Styela clava: one gene and its partner. The protein of the gene in region 1 binds, or shares a complex with, the protein of each later gene. Links are inferred from orthologs where the notes say so. Each region holds a gene or a part of one and is shown on either strand. Other genes may lie near its edges.

Evidence for each region.
Region 2: the proteins of translation initiation factor eIF2B subunit epsilon-like (region 1) and translation initiation factor eIF2B subunit gamma-like are in contact, whole or in part, in a cryo-EM structure (PDB 7VLK), measured with the Homo sapiens proteins. The link is inferred for Styela clava from reciprocal best matches to the Homo sapiens genes EIF2B5 and EIF2B3. Residues at the interface, in NP_003898.2 of Homo sapiens: Pro190, Val202, Arg222, Arg223, Phe224, Ala225, Phe226, Pro227, Leu228, Phe231, Gln232, Ser234, Ser235, Asp236, Gly237, Val238, Glu239, Val240, Arg241, Tyr242, Asp243; in NP_065098.1 of Homo sapiens: Arg155, Phe157, Glu178, Glu179, Leu180, Val181, Ile182, Lys183, Gly184, Leu187, Gln188, Pro191, Arg192, Ile193, Arg194, Phe195, His196, Thr197, Gly198.

What each region holds. Positions count from the first base shown.
Region 1 is NC_135263.1:12,251,099-12,254,856, reverse strand, and holds the start of translation initiation factor eIF2B subunit epsilon-like, read left to right. Parts: upstream 1-883; 5' UTR 884-1,073; coding exon 1,074-1,199; intron 1,200-1,625; coding exon 1,626-1,771; intron 1,772-2,614; coding exon 2,615-2,779; intron 2,780-3,320; coding exon 3,321-3,504; intron 3,505-3,758. Other genes in the region: uncharacterized protein LOC120340882, read right to left, coding at 1-78, 233-298. UniProt on the Homo sapiens protein: Acts as a component of the translation initiation factor 2B (eIF2B) complex, which catalyzes the exchange of GDP for GTP on eukaryotic initiation factor 2 (eIF2) gamma subunit.
Region 2 is NC_135259.1:11,791,562-11,795,319, forward strand, and holds the start of translation initiation factor eIF2B subunit gamma-like, read left to right. Parts: upstream 1-1,235; 5' UTR 1,236-1,285; coding exon 1,286-1,445; intron 1,446-2,291; coding exon 2,292-2,443; intron 2,444-3,669; coding exon 3,670-3,758. UniProt on the Homo sapiens protein: Acts as a component of the translation initiation factor 2B (eIF2B) complex, which catalyzes the exchange of GDP for GTP on the eukaryotic initiation factor 2 (eIF2) complex gamma subunit.

The sequences.
Region 1 (3,758 bases):
ACTTCTTTGATGGTGACGTACTTTGCTTTTGATATTCGTCAAATTCAACCCCACGCGATCAAGAATTCCGTGAACTTTCTGAAAAGGGTAGATTATGGCCTAGGTGAAAAACTCAAAAATATTTGAAAATTAAATAATTGCATAACTCAGCTTATAACTTGCTTAGATTTCTATCGAGATGATCATTCTCCGTAGCATTAAATATCTTATGTTGGTGAAATGCATGACCAACCTTTATTTTTGAAATAACGTCTCCGAACTCCCGCGGATTTTCTTCGACGTTTCTCTCTTCCATCATTTCTGTTAACCTAGTAATTATTTGCGTTTCTTGGGAATAAGTTTGTCTATTGTGCATTATGACATCACACATGATTTATAATATTGTCAAGCAACTGTTCCTAATTGCTGATACTGTACTTTCTCTGTGTCTACGCGTTAGTCAGTGAAACCCCGTATGCACCGACTGCGAGAATACTATTACAATTTATTCAGTGGCTATTAATATAAAATATTAGGTATAGTTATTTGGAAACAGTTTCCATAACTAGGCCTTTTATGTACTCTTTCATTCTGATTTCATTTGTACAATATACATTTTTTTGTGATAATATGCTGATTAGGTACTCACTGTCCACCGACTCGTCATAATCACAACTAAGCCCACTATATTTCTATTAGCTTTCAATCATGCTGTTGTAAAATTTACCAGTATATTTAACTACGAGTCTTTTTCCATTCCCGAGTTAGATATACTGAATTAAAATGTTTAGTTGTATTTTCTCGGCTATAACATGCTTTCACACACATTTCAAATCGACAATTGATTGATTGAGCAGAGCCATTATATAATGGCTCTGGATTGAGTGTTACTGAGAAATGCTAGTAATTTTGTGCGTCAGGCGGTATTAGTGCCTAGTGGCGTGGTTACTTTTTGCTCTTGCTCATTCGATTCTGCGATTGCTGTTGCGTCAGGCCAGTCCTTCCTCGGTCAGTTCTCGTGGTGTTCTGATGACTGGCCATTATCGTAGATTGTTGTATAAAACCTGGCTGTAGTACTTATATACGACTAAGCGATGCCTTCAACAAAGAAAGGCAAGCCTCAAGGTGGAACTTTTGAACAAGAGAATGTTTTACAAGCTGTTGTTGTAGCAGACAGATTCGATGAAAAATTTCAACCTCTTTCTGATGACATTCCTTTGGTGAGTAGTGAGTGGTCGCCAGTATGATTACTTAATTGAAACTGCAAATTTACCACTTATAAAAACTGAAATATGTATAGCCAACAATTACATATACAGATATAATATAACTTATGAAGACAACACATCTCGAGTTCAATTAAAAATGTTTTTACGAGTCACAATTTTGCGTTCGTTTTGAATAATGGTATTTACTAATGAAAAATTAGAATATGAGGTACTCGATGTAGACGTGACACGAGAGGTTTTTCTCACTGATTTGAGGCTTGACTCAAAAAATGGAATGGGTCATCAGGTGTTCAAATATTCTGAGATTTTGTAGATTCATTATAGCGAAATTTGTGTAAACGATTATCAGGATGAGCATAATCATTTCTCACAAGTGTTTAAACATTTAGGCCCCTAAATTATCCTTTTCTATTTTAGGCATTGTTCCCCTTAGCAAACAAACCATTGTTGGATTACACGCTAGATTTTCTGTCATCAAATGGAGTTCAACAGATCTATGTTTACTGCTGTCATTGCTCTGGTCTGATAAAGGATTATATTGCAAACAGCAAATGGGGAGCCAAGTAAGAAAAGCAAAGAATTCATCTCCATTATGTGTGATGATCAAATGTCTATTATTATACAATGCCATTGCAGTATCAGTATTCAAATCACATGATAGCTTATCAATATTATTTATTGAATATGCCAATTCATTACAGTTTCACCAAATTCGTACAATAGATCAAATGAAAAAATATGGAATAAAATATATGAGCATTACTACTAGGAGAGTTCCATCCACAAAACTTTAACCCAGAAAATTTTGAACAAGTCTAAAAAATATAACACAATACAAAGAATCTATTGAAAAAAGATCGCACACTGGAGCTTTAGATAAGATTTTAATTTTGTCTACATATTTCACGAAGAAAATTTTCCATCTGAAACTTCCAGAGGGAGGAATTTTTTCTTGAAATTTTCCTAAACACCAGCGGTGCATATTTGTATTTTATTCTTTGTTTATTGTTTGATCTATTTTTTATTCAAACATATGTTGTCTTACAATTGAGCTGAAGCATGGCGTTTCTTTTGAATTATAAGAAGCTTGCATATTTTAAATAAACTATATACCGGTAATGAAATAAACAATACCTTTTTCAAATAATTCAATATATTTATTTTTTACCATTAGATTGCATTTATATATTTATATCCAAATATGGCTTATCAAAAATCTTTGACATAGTTAAGAAATTATCTACCAAGTATGACAAATATGTCTTTAGAATACCTTTTTCCAATAAATTTAATTTTCAAGTTAGTAGCTTCCTGCACATTAGTGGATGGTTCTCTAACGCCTTGTTTAGAGCAAAATTGTGGAATTTTTGTTCGAAATTACTAATCATTGACAAATTTTATTCCAGATCCTCTCAATGCCGAGTCACTCCTATTGTGTCATCAGATTTTACATCATTGGGTGATGTATTGAGAGACATCGATCAAAAATCGTTGTTTGAAACAGATTTTCTTCTTGTAGCAGGAGATCTGATATCGAATATGTCTCTTCAGCAAGCTTTAACAGAACATCGGTTGGTATTTGCGAAATATCTCGTCAATAAAGTAGGCTATGCTAATTGTGTACGTAGTCACAGACAATTGTTTAAAAGCTGATGAAATGATGAAAGATTAAACACATATTTTTGAATAAACTTCATTTGTTCAATACTGCTGTATAATTGACTTAGCTTAGAATAGTGTGTACAAATTAATATTAATATTGCCTCATTATTGTTTGGCAATTGAGATAATAACAGCAGTGTCTTCTCAGTCTTCCTAATAATGAGTAACTTGTATTTAATTCAATAAATGTGCAAGAGGAATTCTGGTCTCCTTGCTTTCATAGGGAGGTTCAAGTAACCGAAACCTGTTACAAATTTCTCCACCATAAAGTCATCTATAAAAAAAAATAGCACAAAATACACAGCATGCACTGGGAACCGGATGAAAGGCTGTGGTTCGCCATATATATATATATATATCTTATCGCCTTTCTTCTCTAGAATAAATATGAAAATCCTATCTTTCAACAGGCAAATATAACCCTTTTCACTGTTTATATTTTGCTTTCAGGGATAGAAGGACGAAAGATAAAAATAAGCCGTTGATGACACTAATTTTGCGTAGTTGTCCTCCCACTCATGAGATGAGATCAGCAGATGATGACATCGTTGTTGCTCTCGATTCTCATACTCAACAAGTTCTTTATTATCAAAAAATCGGTTTAACAAGGAAACCTAAATTTGAGTTCCCATTGGTAAGGCCACATACGTTTAGCATTCCGAATAATTTTAATGAATAGACACAGTTTTATTCTTGTGCCATTTGTTGAATCTCCATTATTATTATTATCAAATATCCTCGTTATTAAAGCACATCCAATCTTTTGTTCTGGTTACCAATTTGCCTTACTGTGAGTGAACACAGTTAAAAATATTTTGAAAAGCTTCCAATTCTGTTTCGTATTTCTATTTAATTCTGTTATGGTGGAAAACTGATGGTTGATTTAAA
Region 2 (3,758 bases), on another chromosome or scaffold:
ACAGATTAACTTGACAGCCAACTATGCTCTCCTTTATTTCATTTGAATTGTAATTTTCACTTTGACCGATAGAAATTTTGTTCCAATATTATAGTACATAATAGTTACCTAATATTGGGATATAGAATGCCCAAATTCACATATAGACTTTTCACTGCTGATGACTATCCCAATGTACTGAAACTTTTAAAGTCGTGTTATGCTCCGATATATGCCTCAGTAATATTGACGAAGATTTGAATTCTTATTTTGCTTTGACATAAGGTTTACATGAGTAGGAAAATTCGTTTGCAGCGCTCAACAAAGATGATGAAATAATTGGTGTTTTTGTTAAAGTTGTTCCATAACAAGCAAAATTAATTACTATTGTTACTATTGTATACTAATTACTATGTTAATACACCTGTTTTCAATCTTCTCCGTGCCTTACCTAGTTTTCCGCTTTATTACTTATCCATTTTAATCGGTAAGTATATTGATAGGTATTTGTCTGTCTGTCTGTTAGATGCACGCGATATCTCACGAAAGCGAGATTGGATCTGCTGCAGATTTTGCATGTGCATTCATCATATCTCGTACCAGAAGCTTATTGATTTTGGGCGAATTATGTCGTATAATTAGCAAGTTATCAATTAATTAGTGATGGGACACAAGGTGTCACTATGGAGTGAGAGCGCTGTTTTGGGATCCCCTAACTTTTGATCGACAAGTCTTCGTCCTCTGACCGATATTCTCGTTTTATGTTTAATTATAATTTACCGCTTATAAACTTCTCATGATTGAACAGTGTTGTAGTAGTATTTTGTTTTCAATATAAGTTAGACATCTCTCCACATACATAATTAAGCATGTCCATTGAAAAGCACAGATGCAGGCTTATGGTACTACCTGGCTATAATAAAAGAATTACTGTATAATGAGAAAACTGAATTTGTTAAGCAGGTAGAATCTTCACACTGTCTATTTTTTTAGCTGCTTTGTAGGCTGTACAGTAAATGCTGTTTTTCCAGACAGTATTCACTTGAAGTGTTTTAAGTAATGGGAAATCGCTATTTGCTAATATCTCAGGTCCTTTAGTGGGCATTTGTGAATACATTTGGTAAACTTCTATAAAAAATTTGTGCCTAATATAAACATTAGATTATTTTCAATCAAGGCTATTTTTATATTATATTAATCATCATTGGATTGGATTTAATTTATTTAATAATATATGTTAAATTATGCAATTAATACTTATAATTTCATTTAATCAGAAACTAGAATAGCACTGATAAACTTATATATGGTAAAAAATATGGAATTTCAAGCTGTTATCATGGCTGGAGGCAGGGGTGATCAAATGAGTGATTTAACGTCCAGCATTCCAAAACCTCTTCTACCTATTGGGAATAAACCTCTGATCTGGTATGCAGTTAATACACTGGAAAGAGTTGGTTTCAGAGGTAAGTACAAATTACATATAGACAGCAGATTAGCTGTTTCACCAGCTGTTTTATTAGGCAAATTTATGGTCAAGTTGGAGATATGTATTAAACTCGATACGATTAAATTTTATTGACATGATTTTGTAATGGCCAGTTTGATGGTGTTTTCGATACGTTACATCACCCATTAAAACAATTCTGTTGTTAAGGTTTTGACGTTTAATGACTTTGTATAATTTAAGATATCCGAGTTCCGAACTGCTATGTCTCACTCTCACACATTCCTTATTCAACTCTTATGTGGCAAATATGTCCCATGCCATAATTAAATAAAATTATAATGAACTACAGTAAATCTGTTTGAATGATTTCAGAATTTTCACCTATTCATAGAACATGGGCCTAAATCACTTTAATTCCATGCAATTTTTTCAATTGGCACTGCCAGTATTTTGATACATTTGCTTCGCAACGCTTGTTAGTGCTTATGAAACGCATTCGCAATTCCAAACCAAATACATTTGCTGTGCAATTTTGATCCACATAGTTTATGTGTAATAAAATGAAATCAAATATTGTGCAATTTAGTTTCATTTTTATGTTTTTTCTTCTATATTATAATTGCCAAAGTACAATAGACCTAGTAATGTTTGTACTTTACTGTGTTTTTGCCCTGATCAATGGCTGTCAAGCATGCAATATAAATTTAATACAGAACCGCGAGTTATAAAAAAAAATAAGTAAAAATATTACATAATGGTTCTTACTTGAAGTTCAAGTCAGCATCCGTCATTACTGTACTTTTAAAGAGCAAATGGGTCTCAGGTGTTATTAACTAAGATCTATCCTTTCCACTTGTTACAGAAATCATAATTATTACTATGAATTCAATAGTAAATTCAGTAAAGCAAGCAATATCTTCACTGAAAAATATAAATGCTGATATTGTGGGAATATCAGAAGATTTAGACTGGGGAACGACAGACTCTCTTAGACATATCAAGGATAAAGTAAAGGTATTCATGTACGGTTATCTGTCTGTTGTCTACTTGAACTTTATTTACATATTTTCATGAAGAATATTGGAACAATAGCCGCTTATCTATATACAAAATACAGACAAGGCCTGTACAGTAGGCACATAGTAATAAGCGTTAGAAACACACACTGAAAGAGTTCACAGGTTCGAATCTTGTGGGGGATAATTATGTGCATGATGATGGTTGTACTCCTCGTCGCCGTAGGGTTACAGCTACCACCACCATCATGTCATTGTATCTGAGACAAATAGCTAGATGAATATTCCCATACCTGGCATGAACCAGGCGAAAAACTGTGTATTGCTATATGTTTAACCCTTTCCGTGCGGTGGGCAGGTATACGTACCCACGACAAAAGTCGCTAGATTGCGGCGGGTTATGTTGATATACTCCACTGTTTTATTTAGCAATCCGTCGCAAACTGTTGGTCTAGTTTTTCCGGGTTTTAGTTTATTGACAAGAAGTCTTCTTCGAGATTAACATAAGCGACGGTGAATCTCGCTTTCGTTTACGACGGGAATTTTATTTGCGGCGGAACGAGGGAGTGTTTTTGAAATTTATGCAAATTTCGGTGTTTTTGGGTGGTAATAGAAGACATATTATCCCTTCTATCTACCAAAGTATTTTGAGTTAGATCACGAAATTGCTACAGCAATAGTATGCTGTTGTTTGCCAACCACGAAGCGGTAACAGTAAAGGATTTAGCGAATATTTCTATTTTTTATCACGGTTTGAAGTTTCAACTCCCAAGAAAAAAAAATGCCTTTTTCCTATCCGGTTTGTGACTCAGACCACCACTTTTGAAAAAACTTTTTTTTTTAATTGCCAATTGGAAGCTCTTTGAATAAGCTTTCCAACGAGCCGTCAGTGGGCAGCAGAGGATCATTAGTTTTTCGTTAGTCGATCGATTAGTTGTGGGGGTACAAATGCATAAAATCGGCGTAGCAAATACGATTATTTAATAAAAAATAAAAATCGCATGGAAAGGGTTAAGCCATCTTATCGTCTTTCCTCTGCCTTGAAATAAATATGAAACTCCTATCCTATCTTAAAACCTGAATTTCTTATGTCTGCTTGATCAACTGTAAAACGTCATGATCCTATATTATCAATACTTTATTTTTTGTTTATATCAATTCAGTGTATTGTCTATGTTAAAATGAGGTAGAGAATGAAAGTAAATCAAACATGTATATTTTCAGTGTGATCTTCTTGTGATGAGTTGTGATATACTATGTGACTTTGAGCTTCACCGATTAGCAGATGTTCATCGACTACATAATACTGCCAT